2 linked regions of the Oryzias latipes genome follow. The protein of the gene in region 2 purifies or fractionates together with the protein of the main gene of each other region. This does not show direct contact. Links are inferred from orthologs where the notes say so. Each region holds a gene or a part of one and is shown on either strand. Other genes may lie near its edges. The genes, in order: protein POLR1D and polr3k.

The links.
Region 1: the proteins of polr3k (region 2) and protein POLR1D purify together in Homo sapiens (affinity purification with mass spectrometry; 3 studies listed by BioGRID and IntAct, with this or other methods). This does not show direct contact. The link is inferred for Oryzias latipes from reciprocal best matches to the Homo sapiens genes POLR3K and POLR1D.

Annotation. Positions count from the first base shown.
Region 1 is NC_019878.2:17,470,823-17,482,569, forward strand, and holds protein POLR1D, read right to left. Parts: upstream 7,433-11,747; 5' UTR 7,375-7,432; exon of another isoform or gene 7,314-7,374; 5' UTR 7,294-7,313; coding exon 7,268-7,293; intron 6,819-7,267; coding exon 6,744-6,818; intron 5,359-6,743; coding exon 5,019-5,358; 3' UTR 4,529-5,018; downstream 1-4,528. Other genes in the region: urad (putative 2-oxo-4-hydroxy-4-carboxy-5-ureidoimidazoline decarboxylase), read left to right, coding at 1-167; pdx1 (pancreas/duodenum homeobox protein 1), read right to left, coding at 767-1,152, 2,649-3,051; lnx2 (ligand of Numb protein X 2), read left to right, coding at 10,254-10,657.
Region 2 is NC_019866.2:8,133,510-8,144,253, reverse strand, and holds polr3k (DNA-directed RNA polymerase III subunit RPC10), read right to left. Parts: upstream 4,221-10,744; 5' UTR 4,115-4,220; coding exon 4,004-4,114; intron 3,909-4,003; coding exon 3,821-3,908; intron 3,285-3,820; coding exon 3,157-3,284; 3' UTR 3,045-3,156; downstream 1-3,044. Other genes in the region: cdip1 (cell death-inducing p53-target protein 1), read left to right, coding at 315-591, 1,616-1,727; snrnp25 (U11/U12 small nuclear ribonucleoprotein 25 kDa protein), read left to right, coding at 4,589-4,801, 5,421-5,511, 6,164-6,269, 6,347-6,421, 6,517-6,574; lipopolysaccharide-induced tumor necrosis factor-alpha factor homolog, read left to right, coding at 9,498-9,639, 9,727-9,861, 9,933-10,031, 10,228-10,375, 10,470-10,578. UniProt on the Homo sapiens protein: Core component of RNA polymerase III (Pol III) which synthesizes small non-coding RNAs using the four ribonucleoside triphosphates as substrates. Can mediate Pol I proofreading of the nascent RNA transcript.

The sequences.
Region 1 (11,747 bases), on a different chromosome or scaffold from region 2:
TGATTTGCGCGCGGATGAACGAGAAGGCGGCCATCCTGCAGCAGCTGTCCGAGCGCTGCCAGAACGAGCGCATTGTAGAGAGAACGCGCGGCATCGAGGAGGTGAAGAAGATCTGCCGTCTGCGCATCCACACCCTGCTGCTTTCTGACAGAACATTCAAGTTGTGAACTGAAAGAGACGTGCGCGCGCGTGTCCTCTGTACCAAACCCCAACACTGCTGTCAAACTTTGCTGTGTTGCATTCTTTATTTGAAATATATAACTTGTGTTATGTTAAAACTAATATACAGCAATAAACCATTCAAAACTGGTTCACATTTGAGAAATACTTGACTTTTCTCCAAGAGACGTCTTAATTCTAAAACCCTTTTGGAGTAGAGGTGAAACATCTTCAATGTTAAAATATAAACCAACTCCAGTCCCGCTTACATGGAATCAACAGGAGGAATGACAGACATCTGAGAAATAGCTCGCTTATATTTAAAAAAAAATATAAAGATATTTTGTCGTGGCGTGGAAAACTGTGACGCTTTGTTTGCAGAGTAAACCCTGCTGCGCGTAAAGGGCGGTTTGCTGTCTCCAGATGCCCCCTGGTGTCCCAAGTAAATTAAAACATGCGAACTTGATGGAGAGGTGGCTGTTGCTTTAGTCCAGAAATGACAGACTCCAACAGGAACTTTGGTCCAGCAAAAAATCGAAGGCATATGCACTAGGTTGTAACTCGAGAGGTTTGTGGTTCTCTGAAGGTTTCACTATTCAGAAAAGGTCTATGCTGGTTCTCTTGTCACAGACGCCGAGAAAGTGCAACCATGAAGCGGGGAAACTGGGGGTGTGGAAGTGTGAGATCCGTTCGTGGAGGACACTCCACCTGCAGTCTCTCCCTGGTCTCCAGAGGTGATGGAGGAGTCTTGATCCGGATCGCCTCCCCTCGCCCTCCTCCGGTCCTCCTCCTTCTTCCACTTCATGCGCCGGTTCTGAAACCAGATCTTGATGTGACGCTCGGTGAGGCTCAGGGTCAGCGCCAGCTCGACGCGCCGCGGCCTGGAGATGTAGCGGTTGAACAGAAACTCCTTCTCGAGCTCCAGCAGCTGTGCGCGCGTGTACGCAGTCCTGGTGCGCTTGTTCTCCTCGGTTTCCGCCATCACGTATGGCCCTTAAACCACAACAATAGGCTTATTAAAACAACAACAAATGTTTCCAAATTGTTTGGGACACACATGTAATCTCAGTGAAATAAAATAACCTTACAGCATTTCTTTTGAGGTTTTATGCAAAGCACAAACTATTAAACTTCAAAAAATCCTTACACGGTAAAATAGCCATGTTTTACAGTGTAACTGTTTACAGTTTTAACCAAGTTGAGTTGTTTTAACCAAACTCCAAGGTTGAAAGAGGACTAACTTTTTTCTTGGTTACTTTGAAAAAGAAAAAAATAAATAGGGCTGAAATGAAAACCAAAAAAAGTAGTAAGGCTTTGTCCCAAAAAGTAACAGAAAAATATAACCCAACACATGAAAAAAAAACACGTGTTTTTAGAGTGTATGGACAGTAAATGGACATATCCCATAATGCATCTCTTTTTTAGTCATGTTAGAAAATAACCCACTATCGTTTAATGAAATGTACTTTTGAATATTTTTTTCTTTATTCATTTATACCAATGCAAATAATGAAAACATGTTTATTTTCTATATAATTACATTTTTGGAAATTTCAAAATTTAGTTAGTTTTTTCTGATTTCCAGATCAAAAGAAGAGTCTCTTTATCTCTATTACGGGACAGAATGGCGCTGGTCCATATATATATAAATACACACAATAAATCTGACACATATATAATCCTATCAGTCATAAAGCATTCTTTATGTCTTTCCTGTTCAGAATCAATCCACTCACAAAAACTGAACGCACGTGCCCTACAAAGTGGACTCAATCACGGCTCATTTTTCTGTGCGTCACAAAAACGTTTATTTTTCATGCATTCAATATCTAAAAGAAAATTAATATAAATTTGGATGTTATTTGTAATATTTACTAAAGAAATAAGCATAATTTACAATTAATTTTTATTTTGAAATATAACTTTGCAGGCATCTTGTGTTGAGGAATCATCCTATTTATGTCTCATTGCTTTTGATTGCTCATCATTTCCAGAATTTATCTTAGAAAATGAACCAAAAAGTTCTGATTAATCACAGATGACGCAATCAAATGCCTATTGATCATTCAAAATCTTCCAATAAGATATACCCAAAATAATGAATTAATGCACAAATTTCTGTTTTTGGAATGTATAATTATTACAGTTTTACTAATCGAGCTGCTAAAAATGTCCTTTTTACAAATCAATCAAATGTCCCTGACTTGTTGATGTGAGAGAATAATTGCGCCTTGCTTTGCTTGACTTGGAATAAGGTCAAACTTCATTTTCACATGAAAAAAACAACACATTTTCCTAATAAAAGACCTCAGAAAGTGTCTTCCGGGCCTTTGACAGGCTGACAAAAGCCCAGAATTACATTGATGGGCTCCAAATGTGAGGATAACACACAAAAAATTAAAGAACTGACTTGAAAACCACATTTTAAGGGTTTTATTTACCAGATTGCATAAAATCCCCTCTTCTCTGACTTTTAAGGACGTCTTTACCTGCCCACTGTCCCTTCCAGGTGTGTGAGTGAGATTTGGTGGTTTTCATCCAGGGGAAAGGCAGCTGATACGCGCTCTGCTCCACCGTGTCTCCATATCCCAGAGCTTGGAGCGGTGGCTGCTGCAGTTCCTGCTGGTGGTGGAGCTGAGGCACACCTGGATCCTCCCGCATGCTGGGTAAACCGTAAATCGGTGCCGAGTCAGGTAAGCTGGCCTGCTCCAAGGCTCCCAGTGTTGGTGGAGTGTAGACGGAATGGGCCTGCCTGCTCATGTAGAGGCACGGCGGTGGGCTGTACTCATCACACTGCGACCTCTGGTAAGCGCAGGGGTCTTTGAACACCTGAGAGGGGTAGTAATGATCTTCCCGGTTCATGGCTGGAGGACACCCGAAGCTGCGGGGCATTCAGCGCACCTGCGCGTCCGTGTGGACCTTCGGCTCTACCTGCTTGTGGCGCAACTGCGAGGCCCCGTCTGCTGCCTGCAGGTGTGTCGCTCTGTCACCATGTGACTCTGCGGCGCCCAGGCCATTGGTTTCATTATTTGCTCAGGACGGCAGACCAAGGCGCCGAGTTACTAGGATATTCTCCAGCTTGTGGGCTTTTCGTCCCTCGGTAAATTTAACAGGACGACTTTCGGCGCATAAATCAATGCCACTCTGTAAATAACGCTGCGTTTAGCCGCATGGCTCCCACATGCGTGAGTCTCGACTCAAATGTACAGTTTAAACTCTGCTTCGTCATGAAAAGACAAAATGATCATGCGCACCACTTTACATGGCTCTTCATTCATAGTTTTCAATCGATATTTCATTTGGATGTGTCTCCTGTTTGCGCGCTGCGCCTAATAAATCGATGCATATGAGCGCAAACATTGCTTGACCTCTCAGATAAGAGAACGGAGAAACAGTCGTCTTGGAAACTCGATGTCTTCCACTGCATTTATTTTATTTTATTATTTTTGGGGGTCTGTCGTCTGAAAACCTATCCATTACACTTTCAGAAATGCATCATTTAACTCAAATTTGCGCGCCTTGGGGCGGTCACCGCGCGAAGGGCCCTTAGCAACAACGAACAGCCTCTCCCGCTGTACTCTCCATGTTTGCTGGCCATTAGCCTCTGGCGGTCGTGAGTGTCCGCCCCATTAAACAACAGCTCTCCTAGTGTGTCAATTAAGTTGGAGAGCGTGACTGAACTCAATTAAACGACGTGGAGCGCGCATCCCCCAGAGCGCACCTGGAACTTTACGCAACACTTTGAGACGTATACAATTTCTCCTAATCCAAGCGTAGGAAGGCCCTGAGCTTAGCTACAGCTGAACATTATCAACTATTTGCTTTTTGGATCCTCAAAAGCAATGATGGCGCTTTTCATGGTATCCTAATGCAGCACTCAGCAATGCAATAAAGTTCAAGCAAACCAATTCTGCGCTAAAGAGTCGCCTGATATGGCTTAATGGTATTTGATCATTGTTGCAAAGAGGAAGGAAACAGTTAACCAGGACTAGACTCTACTACAGTGGAGATGGACTGCGTGATTTATGAAGCATGACTATGAAATGTTTTTAGAGAACTTATAGACCTTTTTGTGAGCAGAGGGAGAAATGGTCTAACTGGTTGTAATCGAGGCGTTAAAAAAAAAAAGCTTTGAGAACAATAAAACCTGAAAATGACTCAAAAACAAGAGCTATAGTGAAGTTACAACATCACCTTCGGCTAAAGTAGATGTCCAGGAAGATGGAATTCTCATCTTTTCTTTTTATTCATAGCTATAACAGTCGTACTGTGTCTTCACGGGGACTGGGAGTGTAAGGAAACCACTTTTCTCCTTTGAAAAACAAGAGCGGTTCTGATAGCTGCTGTGCACATTTCAAAACATTAGACAGGATATAAAATTTGTTTACTCTTTGGCGACAGCAGCATGGCTTATATAAACACCAGTGGTGGATAACCACAAAAGAATGGTTAATGACATTATAATGGAGCTACAGCCACCTTTACAAAGTGGAACATGATAAAACAAATATTAGCTTTGATATGATTTTTAGATTATATCCTAAAAAGTATATTTGATGTTTCGTTCTGGTGCATAAAGATTCATGTTAGAACTGTAAGAGGATCAATTATTCATGCCTGAAAACACAAAATATTTATTTCCTTTTACTCTCTTCATTCATTCATTCAAAAGCTGTAATACAAATTGTATATTCTGTCACTGTACAATTCGTTGTGATCAGCAGAGGTCCTTCTAGTCTGTCTGGGTCTCTGTGAGGGTGAGAGGGCTCTACAGAACTATTTCAAGTCAGCCATACTCCTCCAGCCAATTAATTTTTCAGTAGAGCATCAAGGCTACCTTTAAAACACAGCAAGTTCATTCATGAAGAACTTCTTTTTCTGTCTCCGTTTGGTCCATCGGCATGCTTCCTGTCTCTGCTGTTGTCCCCGTGTCTGTCAGATTTGTTCTTATCTTTGTCCAGTTCCTTATCTCGGTTTGAACGGGTGTGATGTTTATGGTCTTTGTGGCGTCCATTACTCCTGTGGTCTGTCGGAGGTGTTCTGCTGCGGTCACACCGTCTGTCACGGGACTTGTGGGTCAGGCGGTCTCTTGTTTTGGAGTCTGCGGTTCTCTGCTCATCGTTTCGCCGCTGCAGGCCGGTAGAGCGCAGAGTGTTGAGGAGAAAGCGTTTGTTGGTGCTCTGCAGGGGACATTTCAACCTGACAGAGAAGAAGACAACACAACCACTTAAAAATTCAGAATTAAGGTTTTTTTTTTAATCTAAAGTCTAATGTGAAAAGCGACAGTTATCTGATCAGTATATCTGACAGATGTATAGTCGTTTCCATTAAAGGACAAATTGTCTCCAGAGTACAATTTAAATTATAGGACAACTATTAAGGGCATGACTTTGCTTTAAGTTGGGAGTTAGATGCTCACCTTACTGCTTTTTGTATAATTTCACTTTTTGTTAGGTTCCCACATGAAAATAAAACATTATGGTATTGTGCTGTTTTTCCATGTTTTCTAACACTTAAAAATACTGGGTCATTCTTTAATTTACTACTAAATAGTGTGATAAGAGGTGCAAGTTTTCTGGAAATTACATAAACCAACTTTTTTTTAATATTCTGTAGTTTTTTTGGACCAGACCTAAAAAACAAAATAACATAAACCTCTTCATTAGAAACCCACAAAAAAGAATAAAGTCCTTCTAAATTTGTTTAAGATCTGTTAAACATACACAAATAAATCTTATCATTTCAAGAGACTCAATGAAGGGAGATCCAAAGAGAAACCCATTAACCATCAAACAGATCAAATACACAAAAAGTGAATAGGTCAATAAATAATTTCATGCAAAAGAAATCATTGTGCAACAATATACTTGCAAACATTTGTCGATCTAATTAATACAGATCAGTCAACAAATATTGGTTACCAAGATAAATCTATGATTGTAAATGCGACACAGTGTGAAAAAACTCAAACTGTAATTGTTACACAAAAGACAAGCCTTGCAGACTTCAGAGAACGTTGTCATGTAAATGTTTGGGATAGACAAAAAAATGTGAAAAGTTTAAGTTAGGTAACATTATAATTATGGACAGTCTTTTAAAAAAAAATTTTATTTGCCTTTTGTCCCCTCCTTTCAAGTGACTTTTGTAACTGCATTAAATGACGAGTGAATGACAGCTTCAGAACATTAGCTTTGACCTCTCACATCTGAAATAAATCAAGAAGAAAAAAATAGTTTTGATAAATCAGCGTCAGCCCAGAAAATAAAAATGTCTGAAAGCATATTTTCAATTCCAGGAAAGTTCACAGGGTTATACCGTTTTTTTTAGACATAGAATCACTACAGACACACAATCAATAAATAAATATTAATAATAAATTTAGTCTATATGTGTGTGCTTTTAGATGCCAAGAGAGACAAGTGTCTTTGGGAACCTGACGAATTATCTATAATAGAAAACTAGTTAAACACAAATACAACAATAATAGAAGCCTCCAAAAAAAACAGCTAAACCTATGAAGTAAGATTTTACATGGCGTTTTATGTGGAGGCTGTCAGGGATGACATTTCAGAACCATAACTCACCATCCTGCAGGGCCCATGGTCTCAGCTCTCACCCTGGCTCTGTCTGTCTCCTTGAGGAGTTCCTCTATAGCCCGTCTGGAGGAAAAGACGTAGAAAAATGCGGATAACAACAGAAGACCAAGATGACATAAAAGCTCAAGGGGAGACTAATATAATTATGTGCGAGCGAGGAAGAAAATAGGAGACGCGGAGGAAGTGAATCATAAGTAATTGGGACATCAGCGGTGTCCCCGTTTAACCCGACCAGCTGAGGCATTAGTCTCGCAGGGGGCTCTCTCTGATTCAGCCGATCTTATAGCACGTAGTGAGAACAGCTGTTGATTGCCAAAAGGCAGAGTGTGTTGACTGCTACACAAGATACACTCCGTCCCCTAACCAAAATAACCCCATAGCTACAGAAATGCATTATGCAAACATGCTAGCCTAATCTGGTGGTACCAGACACCATTCCCCCGATGTATTAGTTTAACCGAGCAAACGTAAACAAGTTAATCGATGATAATCTAAAAATAAAAAATACTTACTTTTCCAATTCATTATCTTCAGCCATTATGCCTGACCACCTAAAGACTTTAAAACGCAGAATTATTTCAGGAAATTTCTACAGGCTCATGTTAGGGGATTTATTTACCTCTGCGAGGTCCTTCTTTCGAGGACCTGATTTTATGACCAAAAGATGCCTGATCATTTCATTGTTTTATATTGTTAAACCATAACATTTTTTTTTAAATAAATAATGCATTTTTGTAAAATTCACGCCGTTTTTAGAACCCAAACATTTATTCTAAAGTAATTTAGTTACTAAAATAATAGTTGTAATTGTCACATTGAAAAACAAAAAATATTCCATGCCCTGTATGATCCCGAAGCTTTATCCGTTTATGTTATTACCTCTAACATATCGGAATCATAAACATATTAAAAGATTTTAATTCCCGCTGAATGGACGTTTTTGGGCAGGCGACATTGAAGCCACCTCTACTTTTTTTTTCTTTTTTTTGTGGATTGACAGCGGCAAACTCCGCCCAGTCTCTTTGACGGACAGCAGTGGGCGGGACCAGGCACCAAAGTGACGGGGGCGTTTTCGTGCAGGTTTGCGGAACGGGCCGTCCGTTGCGGCGACTGCGTGACTGAGGTCCCGCAGCTGCTAATTGTCCCGCCACCCCCGCCCCTCTTCGAGGCCCGGGCGCGGCGCAGAGGAGCAGCCTGAAGAGGTAACATCACATCTGCATCCTTTCACTGTAAGCGGCGTCAGTGTGTGTGATGCTGGCTTTTTCTGTTATTACCATTGTCGCCTCTTCTGTCCTCCCTTTTCGCTCCTAGGGGGGGTTGGACTCAGACAGTGAACGGGGGGTTTGAGAGATGGGGGGAGGGCTTATCTAAACATTGATGGTATCAAAAATATATATATATATATATTTTAGTAATTGCTTTGCAGATGGGGCGTTATTAAGGTAAATGCAGAAAATTGACAATAATAATTGAAAATGTAATTTACAGCAGGCTCAGTTTTTGTATTATTACTAATGCATGCAAAAAATAAATATATAATAATGTTCACATCAGTTCTCGTGCTGTCTTTGTGTGTTTAGTATTTGTAGGATGAAAGACATCCAAATGAGGTTTTTGTAAAATATCTGATACCTGGGTGCCTGATACACCTGAGTTTTTAAATGAGTGCCATAGAGTCTTTTGATCTTCTAAAAAGGAAACTCCTGCATGCCGCTGCCTAGTTCTCCCAAGATTAGATAGTAATCTGTGGGAAAATGAGAGCAAGTGCAGGACCGGTATCCTAATATAAAAAGATGAGCAAGTACAGCTTTGAACTCAGACAAGAAGGATTAAGAACGTGTCACACGCATCTGCAAGCCTTCACTTATTAAAAAAAATCAGCCCAGCGTGGCTTTTGTCTAAAATAGATTGTTTTTCAACTGCTTCCTGACTCAAAAATGCATTTACTGTTAAAACCGGAAGGCGTTATTTATTGATGAGGAGATTTCAGGGGCTTCTGCCTAAAAAAAGCCCTTGTGTGTTTCTGTTTGCTCTTGCTTGTGCATGTCTACAAGTCTGTGTGTGATGTGGTGATGTCACAGCTTTGTTACAGAGACAGAGAAGCCTTGTGTCCTCATGTTAAATTCATGTCCAGCTGCAGGATAGGGACAGAAGCAGCCAGTCAGACACAGACAGGAGCACGCACTTGAAGGAGGCAGAAATCTGTGACTACCGGCCTGGTAGCTAAGGAGACAGAGGAGACAGGTTGCATCAGAACTGGATAACTACACAGATGAGATTGAAAAAAAGAAAAACACAAAAAAGGGGGGAAAAAATCAACAAATTGGACTCATATATCATTGTCTGACAAGCTTTCAGCTTCTGCTGTGGAGGAGCACAGAGTCCTGCTGGGAGAAGTGCATCTGTTGTGCACCTCCTCTGCATCCTTTTCTGGCTACACTGTGAATGTCAAACCACACTGAACAGAACAGGATCCAGGTCGTCATGGAGACAGGAGCAGACCCTTGCTGGAACAGAGGCAGGTAGTCACTGTGGCTTGGCTGGCCCGCTGTGGGGAGAGGCACGCCCTCTGCTGTCCGCTAACAGCATCAGTTCCAGAGGGGCGAATGATGCTGATGAAGATCTGAAAGGCGTTGGATGTGAAACTCTGTGGAAACAATAAGCAAACACATTACACCACATTAACTCTGAAGACACGCTCTGCTTGCTGGAGTGCTATTTTTCACAATTTTGCTTTAGGCATGTTCCGTTTCTGTTGCAGAGGAGGGCAGCATCCTCCACACGTGGCCAAAAATATCAAGGGTTTAAAGGTTTCACAGTATTTTTTGGACTATTTAAATTACATTCCTGTCCCAGATTTTATCTCTCTCATTTTTTTTCAAATGTATCTTCTCTTTCTTTATTCCTGCTCTACTTTGTGTTTTTTTTCTGCATCAGGTCCAAATCTTTCTCCCTTGCATCTTATTCTACTTTTTTCTTCTCCCTCTTCTTTCCTGTCTGTGGCTTCTCCTATCCCACTTTCTCTCATCTGTATCCTCTCCCTACATCAATCCCAGATAATTCCCTCTCTGCGGAATTGGAAGATTGGAGTAGGCGAGAGTAAAAGAGAGATTATACTGTCAGATTAGCAGACAGGAGCAGCAATACATAATCTCAGCACAGTCACTGACATCCACATGGCACAGCCACAGTACTATAAACACACATTGCTGCCATCGGTGTCATGCAAACCCATGGGCACACGTGCATGAAGCATTTGCCAAATGATTGCGTGCACGACCACAGAAGACACTTGTTTTGATTTTTCTGAAACATCTGTTAAACTATTGCACTGTGCCCTCTGACCTCCAGGGAGATGCGTTATCAGCCACTGGGGGGCTTTGTCCTCTGCAACCTGTTCAGCCCGTGAAGCTTATGGGATAGAGAAGTGCGTAACCCTTGCCCTCCACACAACTGGAGTCATTTGTGCCAAAATCTGAGCTGTGCTGAAGGAGAAAAATGGGCAGCCCAGGCTGCGAGGTGGACGTCACACGGCCAACGGAGCCAACTCCCGAGACTCTTTGTCCAGAGTGTGGTCAGATCCACCGAACCTGGGAAAACCATCTCTACAACTACCGGCTGGAGGTGGACGACGACCTGGTGTGCCACATCTGCCTGCAACCGCTGGTGCAGCCTCTGGACACGCCGTGCGGGCACACCTTCTGCGCCCGCTGCCTGCGCAGCTTCCTCCAGGAGAGGGACTTCTGCCCTCTTGACAGGACGCGGCTGCAGCTGCAGGCGTGCCGCAGATCCAGCATCCTGGTGCACAAGCTGCTAGACAAGCTCTCCGTTTCCTGCCCTTTGAGTCCTGTCTGCTCGCTCAGCATGCCCCGCTGTGACCTGGAGGCACATCTCAAACACAGGTAAAAAAAAAAAAAAAAGTATGCGCACAGAGAACAGATCTGTAAATAAGTTAACACCATACATGCTAGGGCTTAATCTCCCTTGCCAATCCTATTTTGATCTATTTCAAAAGCATTCCTGGTGGTCGTGTAATTATGATTATGCTGTTATTAGCCAAAATCAAAACCTGTGTCGTTTTCTAGGACCTAATTTCTGCAGAGTGGCAGTAGTTCATCAAAAATTTGCCTCTGAGTTGTGGACGGGACCGTTGGTGCGGACTAAGCCTGCCCCTACTTCCCATCATCCATCTGTTTACACGTTCTCTAGTCGTCTATTAGCGGATGCACTAGGATGGAGTGGCGTGCTGTAGTAGCCTCTGCATGACACCTGTACAAGCTTTTTCCAACTGCCTTTTTGCTTCTGCTCCTGATTTATAACAATTTGAATAAAGAAACACTCAGAAATGCAATTTTAGTCTTATTTCTTTTATATAAGTCTTGCAGTCAGAAAAATCCAGCAAAAACACCAAAAATTAATTTAATCAGTGTGTCTTTAACGACTGTACTTGCTTTAAAGAGTTTCTGCAGCTTTACATCTGATGCCATAAACATCTGCAAACCAGTTAATTCATTTTGTGCATAAATCCCAAATTTATTTAGAAATAAATACACTTATACACTGTTGTTCATCTTTGACGGCCCCCCCTCACTTGTTCACACGTTCTGGCTTTTGGCCCATTTGGACCAGGTGCTGTGAGACCATAGGGGATTATTAAACTGTGGGTCATGTGACCGGATTAAAGGCTCCCTGCTGCAGTCATGAGTTGGCTGACCAGGAGCTTCATGTTCTCATTCCACCATCATGCTGGGCAACTTCAACACCAGAGATCTTTTCAACCACTTCTTCTGTGAGACAGCCAAGGGCAACCCTGGCTTGTGGTGAGTGAGGTTGGGTGTGTAGATGTTAGCAGGATCGGCTTCTTCTTTGTTAAGTTCCCTGCTCTCCGGCGTGTGTGTACATTAAGCGTGCCATGAGAAGCAGAGGTCAACCTGTGGGTAGAAGTTGTGTAAATCCTGCAGCTGAGTTTAAATCAGAGCAAACTTCAGGCAC
Region 2 (10,744 bases):
CCCAGAGATCCACAGAGACTGTTTATGTTTTTAAAGGAAGGCTCAAGAACTACCTTTTGATTCTGGCTTTGAGTTAAAATTTAGAAAAATTCTTAATTGATGTTATTTGATATTCTTATCGTCTGTTTTTACTCATTTGATTCAATCTTTTTTATTCACTTTTACTGATTTTATATCTGTTCATTGTGCTCCATCCTTGTAGTCAAGTTTATTGCAGGACTTAAATCAAAGTTGTGTTTTTGTGTGGTCTCTATAAAGTTGTTCCGTTGACACAGTTTCAGTTTTTATTACACCTCTGGATTCATTCTTTACAGGTGGCCCCTACCCACTGCCTCCCGGGCACTTCGCTAGCCCAATACCAGGTCAGATGGGTCCAGGCCCCGGCCACTTTGTGCACATGGGAGGACAAACAACAACAGTCCTGGGTCCACCAGGTGCAGCCACCACCGTGACGGTACTGCAGGGGGAAATGTTCCAGACCTCGCCGGTGCAGACTGTGTGTCCACACTGCCAACAAGCAATCGTCACCCGCATTTCCCACGACGTTGGCCTCATGAACACACTCTTCTGCCTATTCTGCTTCTTTGTAGGGTGAGTGTACTGTGGAGCTTGTAAACTGCACTTGTTTGGAACGAGTAATCGTTGTAAACGGCAGATACAAATTGGTCAAAAAGGTGACGAAACGGAACTTTTCCTCTGATGAGGAAAACCAAAGGAGCATCAAAGTTTAAACAGCTTTATCATTAATTCAAGTGCTAATTATTTTTATTCAGTTGAAAGCGTCACATTTAAGGCCTATTCACAATGATAAAGTAGTGTTAAATACAAATTATAGTGTAAATATTCTGGTTTTGTTCTTGATTTTATTTACATATAGCACATGTAGTGCCATGTAATACATGTAGTATTTTATGAGACAATTTTTGGATCAAATTAAAGGATTATTGAATGATAAAGGAAACTTCTAAGCTTGATTATTAGTAAAAAAAAAAAAAGTATGTGAACCAGACAGTTCATCAATATAAAGGAAATGAACATAGATTGCAATTAAAATCCATGTTAGTAAAAAAAAAAGAATTTAAAGAATTCTGTATACATTGTATGATTACAAGTAAAATTTAACATCAAAATGTTTTTTAAATACATTTCAAGTTAGAAATGTCCATATGTAAGGTTTTTGTAAATTGTGGAGCCTTGGCTTGCAATAAGGCCAGGGAAGTAAAGTTCAAGAAGTGGATAAAAATAAATCAGATTTTTTTTAAAGATGTTTTGTCTTACATTTTTATTGTTGCAGTCAAAATCTGAAAGCAGGAAGTCGGTGTCTCTTTAAACCACGTTTTAATGAATGTGTCTCATGGCTCTTAGCTACCTAAAGTGTGTCATTTAGCCTTTTAAAAGTATATTTTGCATTAATTCTTTGTCCTAGACATTTGAACAGATTTTTGAATATAGAAAATGTCATCTTATTTTAGTTTAAATTCACATTCTTGTTGAGGGACTTTGTTGTTTACTTGGAAGCTTAATGTGCTCAGAGTTCATTTTCTGTTCCTGCCAGCCCCTGGCGTCCACAGGTCTGAGTCTAAATATGCATAACCGTCCCGTTCCGCATTCGCAGGTGTGACCTGGGCTGCTGCCTGATTCCCTGCCTGATTGATGACCTGAAGGACGTGACGCACACCTGTCCTTACTGTAAGGGCTACATCTACACATACAAGCGTATATGCTAACCACCAACAGCTGGATGCCACAGAGCCATGTACATGCAAACAGAAACAAACTTGCAGCTCCCCTGGCTGATATTAACAGGCCGACTTTTTTTTTTTTTTTCGCATAGTGTTGTGAAACCCTCTTGTATTGTAATCAGTTTTCTCATTAGCTAATTTGCTGTATATATTTCTTCATATTTTAAATTATTAACATGAAGTTGAATTGTACAGATCCCTGTTACTGCTAAGGATGCATGTGAATAGTAGGACTTTAAAAGCTTGGCAGCCTGGTGTAGAGGAAAGCTGTCCTCATATGTGAAGTTGTCTAATTTTTCGTTTAATCCGTTCAAGCTCAGACGTGTTCTTCCGGATTATGAATATTTGTGCGTAATTTTGTTTTTGACATTTGTAGTTGTCAAATGTGGGAAAACTGTCAATTTAAACTGACACATCTGCTAGAAACTTGATTTTTCTTTGCTCCAATCAGGAGCTGACTTATTGTTTTACTGTTACTCACCAGTTCCTCGTGTCTGTGATCTGCTTTCATTGTAATGTCAACATTTGCACTTTGTTATGTTTTTAGCCTTTTTATTCCTGAAGAAAGGGTTGTCCTGTTTTAATCAATTCCCTGAAAGAAGTGGAATAATTTCAAGCATAGAGGTAATATATAACTGGAGTTAATCAAAACATATTTGATCAGAGATTTTAGTAGTCTTTGTGTGCCGAGGACATGGTTATGTGGAAACACTACATGCCATCTCTGTGATACTGAGATTGTAGAGATTCCTCACTGATTTGAAAGTAGTAAACCGTATTTAAGCTGGAAAGGGATGCAGCCATCATTGCATTGATCACCTAATCTTGACATTTGTCATCTATGACATAAATAAATGCATGTTAGATGAAGCGATAGCCTTGACTGAGCAGTCTTTTCAGATTAAGCTAAAAAAATATCAAAAATACAGTTTTTATTGGATAAACCACTAACAGTGTAAAAGCACTGTTCCGTCACAGCATGTCCGATTTCATTTTTCACCAACGCTTTGGAGGTGCAGAATTTGTCTGCATGAGCTACACATCCAAATAAGTGATTCTCTTTGGCTGGCTCCTAGATTTGTATTTTTTTTTCTCTTCCTTACCTTAAGGATGATTGAGTTGCTCTAGAAATTGCATTTTGAGCTCAAGGATTGCATAGAAAATAAACGTGTGGGAACCAGTGGTATGCATTGCTCTCAATGTCTGCAACAAGATACAAACATCTAAGACAATTGAATTGACTGATGTACACAGGTATTATTTTATCAATAAAAGCTCTGAAATAAAGAATTTGTCCGTTGATTGATTCTGAAAAGCAAATTTTATTTATAAATAATAATGGGTCCAAAACATTCTTTACATGTGCTTTGATTGCCATTTAAACTAGAAATAATGAGTGAATGAAATAAAATGCTCAATCTCTCCATCTGTTTCCACACTGAGCATTACAGCATTTGTAGAAAGTCGTCATTGGTTCATCGGCTGATCTGGTCTGGATCTGCATGAAGTAGGCTCGAGGATGCTCGCATTTGGGACACGTTTCTGTGAAAAAACACAAGCAAACATGCATATATGTACACACATGTTCAGAATTTTAGTTAGTTCTCGGATTGAACTTCTTTCTGTGGCCCACATTCAGGTTGGTACTCGCCATAGCATCACACAGCAACACTGCCTCTAGCAAAAAGTAGTCCATTTAAGTGTACTACAAGTATACTTAGAGTGAGGCAGTGTACTTGAAGTTCAGTCTATATATAGTAAACATAAAATGTCACAATTTAGTCAGAATAAGTGTTAAGTTAATGTACTCCCTACACGTTACATGGTCAGCAGTATATGTGCAATACTTGCATCCAAGTACACTTAATAAAATAAACTTCAAGTGTACTTGCAGCTAAGGGTGACTATTAACACCCTTTAAACACGCAAATGGACTGTTTCAAATAAACTTTAATTTATTCCTATGGAGAACATATTTGTCTTAGTAGTCAAATTAGTTTTTCTTGGCCTTTGTTTTATATTATTCTCTAGTCTATCCATGTTTTTTTTTAATTCTTGGTAACAAACTTGTTTGTTACCTGCAGTAGAATCCACGTTCTCCCACGCTGCAGCTCCACCCAGCACATCATCCACCTCTTTCAGCTTGGGATATTTTCGGTAGTTTACCTACAAATATTGAAAAGTTTGAGATTAAAAACCACCCTAAGAAATGTCGTGTTTGTTTCTCGAGTCAGAGTCAGACAGTGATAAAAGGAGCGTACCTTTCTCGTGACGTTGTGCACATAGGGACAAGTGTTACAAGCGAATCTCAAGCATTTCTGTCCTTCTTCTACGATTAAAACGTTTCCACAAGTAGGACAAAAAAGAAGCATATTACCAGATTATTTAAAGAAAAACTATCTCGGGAAAGATAGTAGCGACTACGAAATTCATTAGCAAGGAGAAGCAAAGCGGAAGCAGTTGCTCCGGTTTTACAGCTCGGTAGGAAACAAAAAAAAAAAAAACGTTTGTTAAAAATGAAATTGTTATTGTTAAAGAATGTATATAAATGTATAAATATATGTATAACATTATAAATAATATAATTATTTTAAAACCCCACCATCCGCCGCATGAAAAAAAGTTCTTACTTTTGATAAGCGGAACTATTTATCATGTTTTGATGATACCACCGGTATAAGGTCTGCGACACACAGCATTAAAATTCACACCAGTCTTGGGATACATTTTTGTAAACAGTATCCTATTATTATTATTTTAAGAATCTTTTGTACTTAATTGAACGCGTCAAAAAAGAGAAAGCGGTTTCATTTTTACTGAATGTATTTATTTTTAACCAATAATAGATGATGGAGCAGGAAACCGACGAAGGAGAGAATCGTTTGCAGGACAGTCACAGTCACAGTGAGGTGAAAGAGGAGAAGCTGGCTGATGAGACAGCTCCAGATGCCGAGGAGGAAGATGAGGAGTCTCTTCCACATTCAGAGATCCTTGATATCTTCGAAGAGGGACTTGCTCGACTTGTGCAGGACCCTTTACTGTGTGATCTGCCGATCCAGGTCATAGAAAAACACCACACTCCGCACACCAGGCAGATGTTTAAAGAAAATTTTCATAAATTGTAAATTTAACACTAAAGTTGAAACGCGTCCTTCTTCCGGTTTGTCTGACGGCATATTTGCATAGCAGAAAATAGCTGCATATATATTCTTGAAAAGCCAAATCGAATCCAATTTCAAAACAATCTTATAGCTCTAATTTATGTTTTCTCTCCTTTTTCTTCTTGAAACTGTTTATACGATTTAAGAATTATATACGAATAGCAATGAAATAAATGTTCTAATCTAGAATTAAGTACCAAACATGCATAATAAAAATAACAAAAACACAGGTTATAATCCATAACATTAGTATTGTCAGTATTGCTCTTGTAACATTGGACTATTATACAATAATCACATTTGTTTTTTTTTAATCTCATTTATTATTAAGCCCAGAAAGAAATCTGTTATTTACAACTGGTTTATCTTTCGTATTTGCAAATTTGTCTTTGAGAAAACATGAAATGTCTGCAGTTATAAAGGATTAACCAAGTCCATTTGACTGATTTTTTTTTTTTTTACCCTCTACTGTGTTAGAAGGATGAGAATCCACAATCTGCAATATTTTTGTGTTCAGGTGACTTTGGAAGAAGTAAACTCCCAGATTGCATTGGAGTATGGGCAAGCAATGACTGTGAAGGTTGTTAAGGCAGATGGGGAAATCATGCGTAAGTTCCAAAGTCTCCCAGCTGATTTGTATAATTAGTATGTGTCTATATTGTGTTTGTATGACTATGTCTGTGTTCACTGCCTGACTCATCAGACCTCATAACCTTCTTCTATCGCTCTGGAGTCCAATCTAAATGTTCCCTGACAAACGTTTTTTTTCTGGTTGGCCTTAATGGTCAGTGGGTTTTTTTTTAAGGGTGCACAGCTCTTGTGTCCCGCATTATCCCTCCAGTTTTTCATAATGTGTTGGACAGTTCTTAACCCGTTCGCCCTCTCTGCAGTTTCTTTTGATGTTTAATTTACCGCCAGTGATTTGACCCGTCACCAACAAACTAACATCTCTCCCACAGGATGTGTTTATTGACTTGGTGGTTTAAAAAGAGGGAATCAACTCATTGCATCAGTTGGGATTATAAAACCTGTTACCCGTTGACAGACAATCACCCCATCGCCCAAGCAGACAGTCGCCCATGCAATATTTATCCAATGGGAGGCGCGTCCAAATTTGCATATTTAAATCCAACTTTTAATTTTGGACAGACCATGTATATTTGCATGTGGATTTTTCTTAGCTTTCAAATGATTTTAAATATGTTTTGCACATTTTTTTTACTATACACAGTAGTAACATTTTTTTTTTTTCATATTTAGCTATAGTGGTGGTGCAAAACGCCACAGTTCTTGATCTTAAGAAGGCCATTCGCAGATTCATGGAGCTTAAACAGCAACGAGAAGGTGGAGTGAAACATGTCAGCTGGTAAGAATTTTGGTAAACACGATAACAGAGCAGTTGTGTCCAAATCTTCACTTTGTTTTTCCTCCTTTCTTCTCCAGGAGATATGTTTGGAGGACGTATTATCTGGTATTTCAGGGGGAAAAGCTTGAAGATGACTCAATTAGGCTCAAAGAGTGGGTATCAATGAAGTCTGGTTTATACTGTGTGCAACTGACATAATATTAAAATGTCCTCTGACTCCTGCATTCAAATGCTTATTTGTTTTCAGTTACGGCATTAGAAACAGAGATGAAGTGATGTTTATGAAGAAACTCAGGAAGAAGTGACTCATCCATTTGCCAATTCAGAAGAAAGAAGTTTTCCCAACATAATTAAACTTGTTTTTAAAATAAACCATAACTTTAAGATATATAATACTTGTTTTGAACATCTCTTAAAGTAAAATCTACTTGTAATTACTTGTTTGGAACTGTTTCTTCTTTTAAAAGGCTCAAATGTAAAACCTTTTTTTTTTTTAAATGTTTTGTTTTAAATGGATAGATATGAAATATGTCAATAAATAGCATATCATTTATCTGGGTTTGCATTTTGTCCCTCGAGGATTCAGTGTAAATGTTCACAGTGGGTAATTGTAAACGTAGCTGAACTATTTGAATATTTTGAATAATTAGTTGGAGGAAAGGAACAGTGTTCTGTTGTCCGGCTTCTATCTAATGCTCTATGAGGACGATGAATCAGGTGCAGCAGAACAGGTAAGGCAAAACAAAACTATATTCACGATTATAAGACAGCTTTGTTAACATATTAGTGTGCCAAATGTATCCTAACATGGATTTATTTCAAAACATTTTAAAAATGTAATTTTACCCAACCAAAATAATAGAAACTAAGAAGTTTTTTTTTTTTTTACCAACCATATTCTCTGTGCCCCACATACTTATTAATTTCTTTCAAAATATGTATGTTTTGACCTCTAAGTAATTATCAATCACTTTACTTCTGATTTTTATTCTTAATTTTGGATCACAGATTCTGCAAGTTTTCCACCTAAAGACGAGATAATTTCATCACAGATACACTTCAACTGTTAGAGACAGACTAGAATATAAGAGTGAAGATTTCAGGAAATCACACTGTATGATTTTTAAACATTTTTTAAACATTTGTTTGTATATGAGTATTTGGTCAAAACAAAAGGGTCTAAGGGCAGGAATGCCCAGTTTAGATTAGACTGTTTAGTTTAGTTTAGCATTTTATGACTGATTTTATGTTCTTGTATGAAGCTCTTTGGCACAACTATTGTTGTAATACTGGGCTATATAAATAAAATTTAATAGAAAAGTTACCTTGATCTCAGAGACAGAGGTCAAAGGTCTCCTGTAGGCCTTTATCCGGTTTAGACACAGCATAGCTGCTATTTTGGCCCATTCTTCTGTACAGACCTTCTAAGAGCTGTGATATTTTGAGGGTGTCACTGGGAAACACAAACTTTCAATTCCCTCTCCAGATTATCTATTAGATTGAGATCCGGAAATGGACTAGGTTACTCCAGAACCTTGAAAGGTTTCCTTTTTTTTACGTAGCCACTCCTTTGTTGCCCAGGTGATGTGTCTGGGATCATTGTCGAGTTGAAAATCCAGACACGTTTAATCCCTCTATGATGTCAATAAGGAAACATGTTATTTTTCCCAATATCTCACCATACACGGCCCCATTCATCCTTTTCGTAACCCTTGTGCGATCCTGGGCACTTTAACGTTGGGAGTTGGGTCATCTAGACCCACTAGACAGTGCTCTGAACCTTTTTTCTTCAAGATTTGTGATCTTCTCTGGTGTCCATGGATTACATGAAATCTTTCCACCTTTATCCACCTTTGTCATGGTAGGGAGAACACGTCAATGTAAGGGTGGGGTCATCTAAGATAGCACAAGGGTTAAATATGTGACATTATTACAGGTAACAAGTAGAGAAAAGAAAAGCTTCTCAAAGAAAAATTAACAGGTCTGAAGGAAAGAATTCTTGCTTGTTTGTACCAAAAGTCTCACTTTTTGAACTATTATCCAAATATTTTATTTAAAATCATTTAATGTGATTCCTGGGTTTTATTTTTACACTCTGTCAGAGTTGAAGTGTATCTGTGGTGAACATGAAAAAACTCATGTTTTTGAAAGAAAGAACTTGTGGAATCTGTGACAGACAAATACCTTTTGCCTCACCGGACATTAAAAAATGTCCACCTTTTGTATTTGGGTTTTTTGATACAAAGAACATTCAAAATTGCTCCACAAACAACAATTTAGAATCTGTAAATATCAATAGATGCATTGACAATGGGTAAAAAAAATCCTTTGCTATTAAAGTGTTAAGATTTTCCCTTACAGCATTACTTTATTATAAAATAAATAAAAATACAAAAAAAATATATATGAAAAAGTAAAACAAATGATTAATCACTAATTGAAAATGGTTAAATTGATCGATGTTTAATGATATTACTTCATTTGCTCCAAAAATTCATAAATTGATTCAAAAATCTTTCCTAATGTAACATAATTTTGCACATGTTTTTAACTTTTGATACTTGATGAAATTTTGCTATGAAAATTCCTGAAACAGTGTTGTGTCTATTTTACTGATATAGTATTATGTTTTAATTATATGAATGACTTTTATAAGTAAAATAATCTGCATATATTTTAGATGACTGATCTGCATTTGCCATGTTGATTTCTAAAATAGTTATTTTTACATAATAATTAAGTAATTCATCTTTGTCATGTGCTTTATCGATACCATATGATTTTTAATTCTGTCTGATTAAAAACTAGGAACCGGATATTGATAAATCATGTAATAAAATGGTTATAGTATAATGGAGTATTTTGAGAGTCAAACAGCATTAAAAACTATAATAACGTCTTAAAAATTGGAAAACAAACACAGCGCTCTTGCCTCAGTGTGAAAAGGCCCTGGTTCTGTGCTCTCCATCTTTTCCCACAGTCTAAAAACATGCTTCATAAGTTCAGTGATGTCTCTAAATCAGGCAGGTGTGGTGTGAATGTGAGTGTGTGTGTGGCCTTGCAGCAGGCGGGCGACCTGTTCAGGGTGTACCCCGCTTTGGCCCAACTGTGGCTTCAGCAACCCTGTGACCACAAAACGGATTCAGCAGGTTCAAAAGATGGACAAATGGAAGGAAAACTAACGTCCGTCTGCTTTTCTCTGCCCATCTTTTCCACATAGGTGTCACCATGAATTCCACCAACAGCGAGGCCACTAAAATTTCCATGGAGTTGAAAGATATTTCTTTAAAGATTCAAACACTTCAGGAAAGGAGGAACATTATGTGCATTTTTCAGGAGATAAGGAATCGCACAAACCTTGGCCAAACAGGTGGCTTGAAAGAAACAAATAGCATTTCTTGATGTGATGAAACGTTTTTGTCAAATGTATGACCTCCTCTGCTTTGTGTACTCTCAGAGGAAGCATACGCCAAACTGCAGCAGATCAACATTATTGAAAATGAACTGAAACAACTCAGAGAGAGGCAGGCTGAACTCCAAAAACGATTTAAGAGCACTTCAACTGTCAAATGTGTCAGATTTGACCAGAAGGGTAAGCGGTAAATGTTTGCTTTAATCCTTCATGTTTAAGTCTTGCAAAGACTCCATTTCCTTTTTCTCCAGAGACTGCTGTTCCCCCACCAAGACAGGAGGTAGAGAAGGATGATGATGATGTTCCTGAGAAAAAAGTTGTCTTTGTTGAGGCTCCGCCTTCCTTCCCAGGTGACCCACTTTTGATTTCAATAATAAGCTTTTTGAATTCCTGTCATAAAACCCCCCCCTGAATTTCAGGTTTTCAGAAGCTGTCATAGTTTCTATTGCCTAAATAATAAAAATAATAAAAAAACATCTGAGATACAAAAATAAATGATGAAAACAGAGGAAGGGGAATCATTTCTTGCATGTGTGACCTTTGCAGCTCCTTCTGTGATTCTGGACACGGATAAACTTCCACCTGAGCCCAGCAGGACTCAGTGCCCGCAGTGTCAGCAGTTTGTAGTGACTGAAACCAGTACCTCCATCAGCAGCGTGACCTGGCTGGTGTGTGTTATGACAGCTCTGCTCGGGTACAACTGATAACACATTTGCCTATTTACACAATGAGCTCCGTTTGTGCCGCTGCTTCTCACTGTCCCTTCTTTCTGTTTCTGCCCTTCCCAGCTGCGTTGCCGGTTGTTGCCTCATTCCTTTTTGCTCCAACAAGTTCAAGTCCATTACACACAGATGTCCAAAGTGTCGGACGTCGATCGCAACCCTGAAAAAGCTCTGAACGGGGGACAGACCGGCCGGGTTTTGCTTGTGGAGTCTATGAAAGTGAAGCAAACAAGCCAGCAGGTTCTGCTGAAAACTGGAATAACAGAGGCACAAATGAATTTAGACGTTCGTTCAACTGCTGGAAAATAACGACTAAACATAAGAAATGTGAAAAGACAGAC